Sus scrofa: one gene and its partner. The protein of the gene in region 2 purifies or fractionates together with the protein of the main gene of each other region. This does not show direct contact. Links are inferred from orthologs where the notes say so. Each region holds a gene or a part of one and is shown on either strand. Other genes may lie near its edges.

Region 1 (4,338 bases), on a different chromosome or scaffold from region 2:
GCAGGAACTCCATTAGCAGCAAATTTTGCCTCTCCTTTCCCTCTCTCTTCCTCTGTATCTAGTCATCAAGCACTTCTGTCTCCCAAATGGCCTCATATCCTTTCCTTCCACTCCAGTCTGCCACTGCTTTCAGTCTGAACCCTTTCTTTTCTTTTAGATGAATATAAAGTCTCTCAATTGGTCCTGTTGTGTCCTTCAATCCTCCTTATTGTCCAGAGTGACCTAACTACAAACCACCTGATAGGGACATCTTACCTTCACAACATTCAATGATTCTCATGTTTCTGGGAAACAATTCAAACTCTTTACCCCAGCATCTACTTTGGGGTTAGGCAGATCTAGGTTTGAATTTCAGGTTCAAGTATTCTGCAGCAGTGTGGCCTCAGACAATTGGACTTTCAAAGCCTTTGTTTTTCTCAGGTGTCTAAGCTCACTGAGGGCAGGGTTATTTCCCCAAACACAATGCCGGGCACATAGGGAGCGCTAATTAATGCTGAATGAAGGGAAAGCATTTTAAAATCCACATCAAAAAGCTGTCCCTCCTTAAAAATAAAATAAAATCCTGATATGCTGTGCCACTTCCAACCAAATTTGATTTCTGTCTTTATTTCCTGATAATCACAATCCCAGGGCTGGGCACCAGGGATGAAGGCTGGTTCTGCCTGGCGTCCCCACCCCTTTAGGGATCCACACTATCAGGGATCAAATCCTGGCCATACCCCTGAGCAATTAGGTGACCTTGGGAGCGTTATTTAATTTATGGAAAATCTGTGTTCCTGATGGTTTTGTTCTCAAGGGTTAATGAGCACCACACTTGGAAAGGGTCGGGCGCGTATTAAGTGTTCGCCAAATGTTAGCTATCGTTAACCTCCTTCATCAATTCAAGACCGTGGTACTCCACTTTGTGACTCTCAATTTTGTATGAGAAAAACGTGCTTTATGCGTTGGCGAGAAAGAGTTGCTGAATCCCCGCGTTTCAGAAGTGGAAGGAACGAGTTCGGTGCCTATTTTACCGATGAGGAAGTGTAGGGGTGACGTGTCCTCGAGTCTTATTCAAGACACTGCCACAGCTTTTTACTGAAGGTAAGACCAGGGCCCCGGGGGTTGCTGTGGTCAAACTGAAGGCAGAACAGAGGAGCATTTAGTTACAAAAACGGTCAACAATTCGGGTGTAACTAAGTTCGTTGAGCAGTACATCAAATGAGCCAGCCGTCAGACCTAGCGAAACCAAGTTGCTAACGAACTGGCTCTTTACTTAAGGGGCTATTTTATAGAGCCCGCTCAGCCAGGACAGCTTCAGTTAACAAACTCCCGCAACGCTTCCGCAGGACCGGAAAGCTCCGAGCCGTGAGAGATGAATGGAAACCAGAGTTCAGGGCGCGCCTCGCGGGGGGCGGAGCGCCGATGGGCAGGGGCGGGGCATTATGAGTCACGTGCCTACGCTTGAGGCGGGCGCGTGGAGGGAACTCTAGATGTGATTGGTCCGTCGTAACCAGGTGACCAAAGGACGCGTTCCGGTTGGCAGGGGCCAGCCAGGCGAGGCTTTCAGTCGGGAGGCGGCGGCGGAAGGAGGAGGAGCTCCGGCTGCGCTCTCTCCCGGCAGTGGCTGCGCGTCTCAGCGTTTGTCGGGTCCCCACCCCTTTTAAATAAGCCGGTCTGGTCACCGCCCTCACAGACTAGTTGGCTCCGGGGAGGCGGCAGCGGCGCGGCGGCGGGGGTGCGGCCGGGGCCGGAGCCCTGCCCCGGGCCCGGCGGCGGGGCGGACGGGCGAGTGGGGCCGAGGCCGCGTCTGCATGCGCGGCGCAGCCCCGGCATAGCCCGGGGCTGCCCGTGCCGGCCTCGCCATTGTTGGGGGAGGGGGCGGTTGCTGAGAACGGCGGAGTCGCAGGGCGAGCCGAGGAGGTGGCGGCCAGAAGCGGAGGCGCCCCATGGGGAACACGTTGTCCTGTTGCTTGTCGCCCAATGCCAGCCCCAAGCTGGGCAGGCGCAAGGGGCCGGTGGAGCCAGACTACGAGTCTGAAGTCTGTGAGGCGGCGGCTGGGGACGCGGTGGCAGTAGCTTCCGCGCCGGCTGCCGTGGAACCAGCTGAGTTGGATTACGGAGCCGGCGAGGGCCACCACCTGCAGCACATCAGCGACCGGGAGATGCCCGAAGGTAAGGCGGTGGTAGGCGCACCTCGCCCCTCGCGGGGCCGGCTGCATCTGTTCTCGGGCTTACCTCTGGCCTCCGCCGCCCCCAGGGTTCCCCCGGGAGGGAGCCGCCGCCTAGGGCTCCTTCCTGCCCGGAGCTGGCTTTCCCAGGGCTGGGCACCGGGGATGAAGGCTGGTTCTGCTTGGCGTCCCCACCCCTTATTCTTTTCCCGTCGCGTCCAGCCAGTCTTTTTTCCTCTAATCTACCCGAAAGCCCAGTTCTTTCCCCCATTCCCATTTCCCACCCCAGTCTGAGACCCTCCGGTCTGCGACCCTTCCTGTTTGCGGCTCTTTATTAACGCCTGGTGGGACTTTATAAAGACTTTCTGGTATAGTCTCTGTATTCTCAGTGAAAACTTAAATAACCCAACTATGGCGTATCCATCCCACCTCCTTATCCTTACCTATCCAGATGGTACCTAAGTGAAGGAACCAGGTAAGGTAGTTAAGGCAGTTGATACAATTTAGACGCATTCCAGAATTTGTTATTTAAGTTCAAAATAGAGATCGACAGAGTCTATATGGCGTTCTTCGGTAAAATTATTTGAATTTTAACGTTTTCAGTCGCCCTGATAGAAGCTGCTTTCTTCCTTCTAACTGTAATTTGAGCACGAAAATAAAGAAAATGATTGGGGGCGGGGGGCTTCAAATAAGTGCGAACGTTTGAAATGTTACTGCCACGGCTGCAGAGAATAGTTTTTTTACCCAAATTCGAACCCACGGGGTTCTGATTACTTTCAAATTCCCACTTGGACACAACTGTCTTCAGCCCCGCAGCCTTAACCGACTTCATTTACACGTTGCCAGTTTTAAAGAAGAGGTGAGGTGATTCACCAGACTGTTAAACGTTTCAAAACAGAAGAAAGCAAATTCAGATTTTAATTTGTAATATGAAGATTTGGGAGTTAAGATGTCAGATTCTGCAGAAAAGTGTCTCCATGACTCCCTTTCTTCTCCCCCCCCCCACCCCCCCCCCTCCTGCCGGTAGAATTCCTATTCAACTGGAAGAATGTTCAGGTAAAAGTTCTTAGGACTAAATGACTATGGGGGGAGGGACTCTGGGGGTGGGGTGGGCGGTTGCCAGGGAGGAGAGAAGGGAGAGATTTCTGCCTAGAATTTTGGAAAGGGATGGCTCTAGGTTAAAAAGAAATTCTGAGTAACACTGTGGCTCTTTAATAAAGACTGTTCTTTGAAGTAGAAAACATTGTATCATAAAGATGTTGAAGCTCTAGTAGCCCACTTATTGCCAGAGGCTATTTCATAGAGGAAACGTCTTAATAGCTCTTCTATTTAAATTTTAGTTGGGCTTACTTAATTTCTTTAACAGAGTAGTTAAGCCTGTGGATTCACCCATGTAATGGACATGGCTCTGTAAGTGGAAAGTACTCCCTTTTCAGAATGTTCAGATATTGTAAAAGAATGAACAAATCATATGAATTAAATGTAACTTTTAAACACAAAGAATGTAAGTACTTGTGAAACTTCTACTCTGCTTGTTGCTATAAGGTAAGCCTCTGAGTGATGTTACAAATCAGTTAGTGGTTGATTACTGTAAAATGAGAGACCGAAATTAGAGCTGTATATAGTTCTTTTAGGACTCATAACATATTTTCATGTATATTTCACTTGACCCTTCCACACAAATAGGGCCTGTGTATATTCTCCCTGTATTCCTGGTGAAGAAACCAAGACTTCTCTAAAATCATTATGTGACACAGCTACTGAGCAGGGGAAACAGATGTGGAGGTGGTAGATAGCCAAATTCAGTTCTTGGAGTGCTTAAAAAACTAGAGTGTACCTGTTTTATAATTTAGCCATAAGAAAGGCCCATCTCGACTTTAGTTTTAATTCCACTTGCATTTATTGTACACAACTCACAAGCCACATTTACCTCTCCATTCTGTGTCTCAATGTTCATTACAATGGGTAAGAATAAAAGTCATAAATAGCCAAATTTTACCAGTCAGGTAAATGGGTTGATATATTTTAAAGAGTTTTTGTCTGGTGACCTTGAATTGAAGCAGAGAATGCCCTGGACAGGGAGGGTATTAGGAGAAGCTCGGAAAAGGACAGGTAAGGTACTAAGCATTTAGCATAGGACTGTGTATAATAAGGAGTATTAAATCAGGAAAGTTGGAAAAATAGAGTT
Region 2 (3,545 bases):
TTGGGATAGTTGTATGTCTTGAACTCTTCGTTGGACAGGATGCCCGGCCACGTCTCCTCAGTTGGGGTTCCTGGCGGGGAAGCAGAGTTAACCCTAAGCATCTCCCGGGGCCTCCCTGGATGTCCCCACAGCTCCTAGGGCTCATCCCCCACCCCTCACCTAAGATGCGGAAGATGAAGTGCAGCTGTTCCTCCACCGTGGAGCCCGGGAAGAGGGGCCGGCCCGTGGCCATCTCATAGAAGATACAGCCCACACCCCTGGGCAGGGAAGGCACAGTGAACAGGGAAGCAGTTGGCTGGCTGGCCGCTGTAACCAAGCCACCTCCCCTTCACTGCATGGCCCCTGGCACACTTCCACCTGTCCTCACCACATGTCAATCTGAGTGGAATAGTCCGTGGATCCGAGCAGGATGTCGGGGGGACGGTACCACAGGGTTACCACCTCATTGGAGTAGGTCTTCGTTGGAATTGACTTGGCCCGGGCCAGGCCTGGCAGATGGAGAGAAAAGGCAGCTGGAATGGAAGAGGTGCTGGCCGGTGTCGGGGAGAATGCAGTTGGGGCTGAGGGCATCCTAAGCAAAGCCTGGAGAGGCTGGAGGGGATCGAGACAAGGTGGCTGTGGGGGAGAGGGAGGCTGGGGTCACTGGGCAGAAAGGGGAGGCCAGGGGTACCGAAGTCGGCCAGCTTGAGCTCTCCTCTCTCGTTTATGAGCAGGTTCTGGGGCTTGAGGTCTCGGTGTAGCACCTTCTGCCGGTGGCAGTAGGCCAGGCCACGGAGCAGCTGGAACAGGAACAGCTGGGGACCCAGGAACGGCAGGCAGAGGTCAAAGAGTATCCAGCGGCCTGAGCCCCAGCAGGCACTGCTCCCCCTCCCAAACACAGGCACTGTGCCCGGAGCCTTGTCTCACAAAAGAGGACAGGGTCCCAATGCCCTCCAAGGGCTCCCAGCAAAAAGGCCAAACGGGAAGTCTGTTTCTGGGAGATTTGTGGGGTGGAATGGGTGAGTGGGGGGCCCCCTTGTGCCCCTGCTTCCTGCCCCACACCCACTTTCACGTTGTGCATGTTGATGACGTTCCCACAGTCATCCAGGTACTGCTTCAGGTCCTTGTCCTGAGGAGAGCAGAGCAGGTAGAGGAAAGAGGGTCACAGCCTGTGGCTCTGGGCCACCTCCCCACCTCCGTCTGGGCCACACTGCCACTCAACCTTACCAGGTACTCAAAGACAAGGGTGAGGGACTTCTCCGTGTGGATAATATCATGTAGCGTGACGATATTGGCATGTTTGAGGTCCTTGAGCAGGGACACTGCAGGGAGCATGGAGGCAGAATGGGAGAAGAGTCAGGACCCACCCTCAGGACAGAGGCGAGGAAGAGCCCGGGGTTTCCTGCTTTCCCCATGCGGTTTGGGGCGGTGGTTCACAGCCACCGGCTCCAACCAACCTGATACCAGGAAGAAGGTGTGTCCCCAAGTTCCAGAGGTGGACACTAAGGCTCAGACAAGAGCGCAGAGCAAGAACCTGGGATGGCAGCCCCAGGCTTATGTGATACTGGATTTTCACAACCCATTTTTGGTTTCTGGAAAGGGGCCTTGCTCCAACCCTTAGTACACAAGCCTGCAGCTTATGTGAACGTGAATTTGCATACTCAGTTTCTATGCAATTCTGATTCATTCCATGTGATATTCTAACTAGAAACGACTGTGTCAAGTAAACTGGTGAGTACTTTCAGGGATATTCTCAGAACTGAAGCAAGCACCCTGCTTTCCAATGCATCTGCCTCTTTTCCACATGGCAAGATTCCTGGTTTCCCTAATTTATTATTTGGATATGGGGGGTTGGGGTGACGGGCACTTTCTCATGAAGCCCAGAGTTTCAGGAGGGAAGTCCCGGCCAGAACCCCCAGTCCCCATCACGCCGTGGGGAGAGCCCGGGAAGCCTGGAGCAGATGGCCTGAGGCCTGTACCTTCCCGGATGGCGGTGCAAGGTGCCCCCTCTTCGTGTTCCAGTCTGATCTCCTTGAGTGCCACGAGGTTGTCTGTGAGCTTGCTTTTGCCTTTGTAGACAGTGGCATAGGTGCCCTGGGACGTGAGGAAGAGTGACAGGAGAGGAGCTGTGAGGCTGCGGGACTTCTCACTGACCCCCTCACCTCCCCGCCCTACCAGAGGCCTGCTGGCTGTCTCTCACCTCTCCCAGCTTGTCCAGCTTGATGTAAGTCTCCAGTTTCCCAAAGCCGATCTCAGACTGGGGTAAAGGAGGCAGGTTGAAGTAGGCTCGGGGGAAGGGACTGGGGAGAAGAGGAGGAGGAGGAGGAGGAGACACGAAAAGGAGACAGATGCTCACCAGGCTGACACGCCGGAGGCGGCGGCTGAGCGGCTTGTCGAAGATGGGGCTATTGAGGGTCAGCTTCTCAAGGTAGCCCTCGGGCAGCCGGATGTCGGCTGGTAGTGACAGGCGCTTGTTGATGTCCTAGCAGGAAAGATAGGGGAGAAAGAGGACCATGAGCTCCAACTCCCCAGGCCTAACCCTCTTTTCCAGCCCCACTACTGCCCGGACAGGGGGTTAAGCACCTCGGTGGAGATCTTGCGTGGGGGATGGTTGCGCATGCGCACCCTCACTGGTGACTGCACCTCATCCGAGGACGTGGCTGAAGCCTGGTCACTTTCCCCGTCAGACCCCATCTTCAAGTCCTCGTGTACAATCTCTGGTCGTGGGGACAGGTGGAGGGCAGGCCAAGTGGGGTCAGGAGCCCCAGGACCACCCCCCCACCCCTGCCATGTAACACCTTCCCTCATCACACATGTGTGCGCACGGCCCCCAGAGCAGCCTGGCGTCCCTCAGGGAGAGGGTGGGAAGGCCCAGGGAGGTTCACGCAGGTCAAGACTGGTTGAATGGGGGTGGGTGGGGTGGGCAATAGTCACCTAGTGGAGCACCCCGTTTCAGCGGCGAGCTGAGACTGCGGCTGGCCCACGGCCAGTGGGCAGGCAGCAGCAGAGGCAGCCAAAGGCCCCAGGAAGGCAGGCCCAAGGCAGGCAGGCGCCAGGAGGCCTGAGGGGACTGTCACAGAGCTCAGGAGAAGGGCAGAGGGAGGCATGGGGCAGCTGTGGCAGGCAGGGCACCCTTCCTTCCTCCCCCTTAGGCCTGGGCACAAGGCCAAGGAAAGGGGCACGGATGGACAATAGAGAAAGGGTGCTGAGAGGATGGGGGAGAAAACGGTGAAAGGAAAATGAAAGTAACGCAGGTCTAAGAGGAACTTGGCTAGAAGGCAGCACAGCTGGGGACCAGTCTGGGAACAGGGACAGTCAGTGGACCTACCTGGTGCAGAGCTGAGTGGGCCCCGTCCAGAGCGAGGTTCCCCAGGAGCGGTACGTGTGGGGGCCTCTCCAAGGTCACTGCCACCACCACCGCCACTCTCATCAAGGCCTATCTGTTCTGGGGCACCATTGGTCTTGTCTACACTTCGGCCCCCTCGGAGTGTCATTGACAGCTGCCGTTTGATCTTCTTCATCCGATCCATGGCGACCTGAGCAGGGGGAATGGATGGGAATGGGTT

The links. The genes of interacting proteins can lie anywhere in the genome.
Region 1: the proteins of CDK16 (region 2) and CCNYL1 purify together in Homo sapiens (affinity purification with mass spectrometry; 4 studies listed by BioGRID and IntAct, counting the BioPlex papers as one, with this or other methods). This does not show direct contact. The link is inferred for Sus scrofa from reciprocal best matches to the Homo sapiens genes CDK16 and CCNYL1.

Annotation. Positions count from the first base shown.
Region 1 is NC_010457.5:110,872,405-110,876,742, forward strand, and holds the start of CCNYL1 (cyclin-Y-like protein 1), read left to right. Parts: upstream 1-1,538; 5' UTR 1,539-1,928; coding exon 1,929-2,154; intron 2,155-4,338. UniProt on the Homo sapiens protein: Key regulator of Wnt signaling implicated in various biological processes including male fertility, embryonic neurogenesis and cortex development. Activates the cyclin-dependent kinase CDK16, and promotes sperm maturation.
Region 2 is NC_010461.5:41,841,807-41,845,351, reverse strand, and holds part of CDK16 (cyclin-dependent kinase 16), read right to left. Parts: coding exon of another isoform or gene 3,516-3,545; coding exon 3,308-3,515; intron 2,697-3,307; coding exon 2,563-2,696; intron 2,462-2,562; coding exon 2,336-2,461; intron 2,237-2,335; coding exon 2,180-2,236; intron 2,074-2,179; coding exon 1,959-2,073; intron 1,302-1,958; coding exon 1,207-1,301; intron 1,109-1,206; coding exon 1,046-1,108; intron 795-1,045; coding exon 671-794; intron 489-670; coding exon 368-488; intron 258-367; coding exon 160-257; intron 71-159; coding exon 1-70. UniProt on the Homo sapiens protein: Protein kinase that plays a role in vesicle-mediated transport processes and exocytosis. Regulates GH1 release by brain neurons. Phosphorylates NSF, and thereby regulates NSF oligomerization. Required for normal spermatogenesis.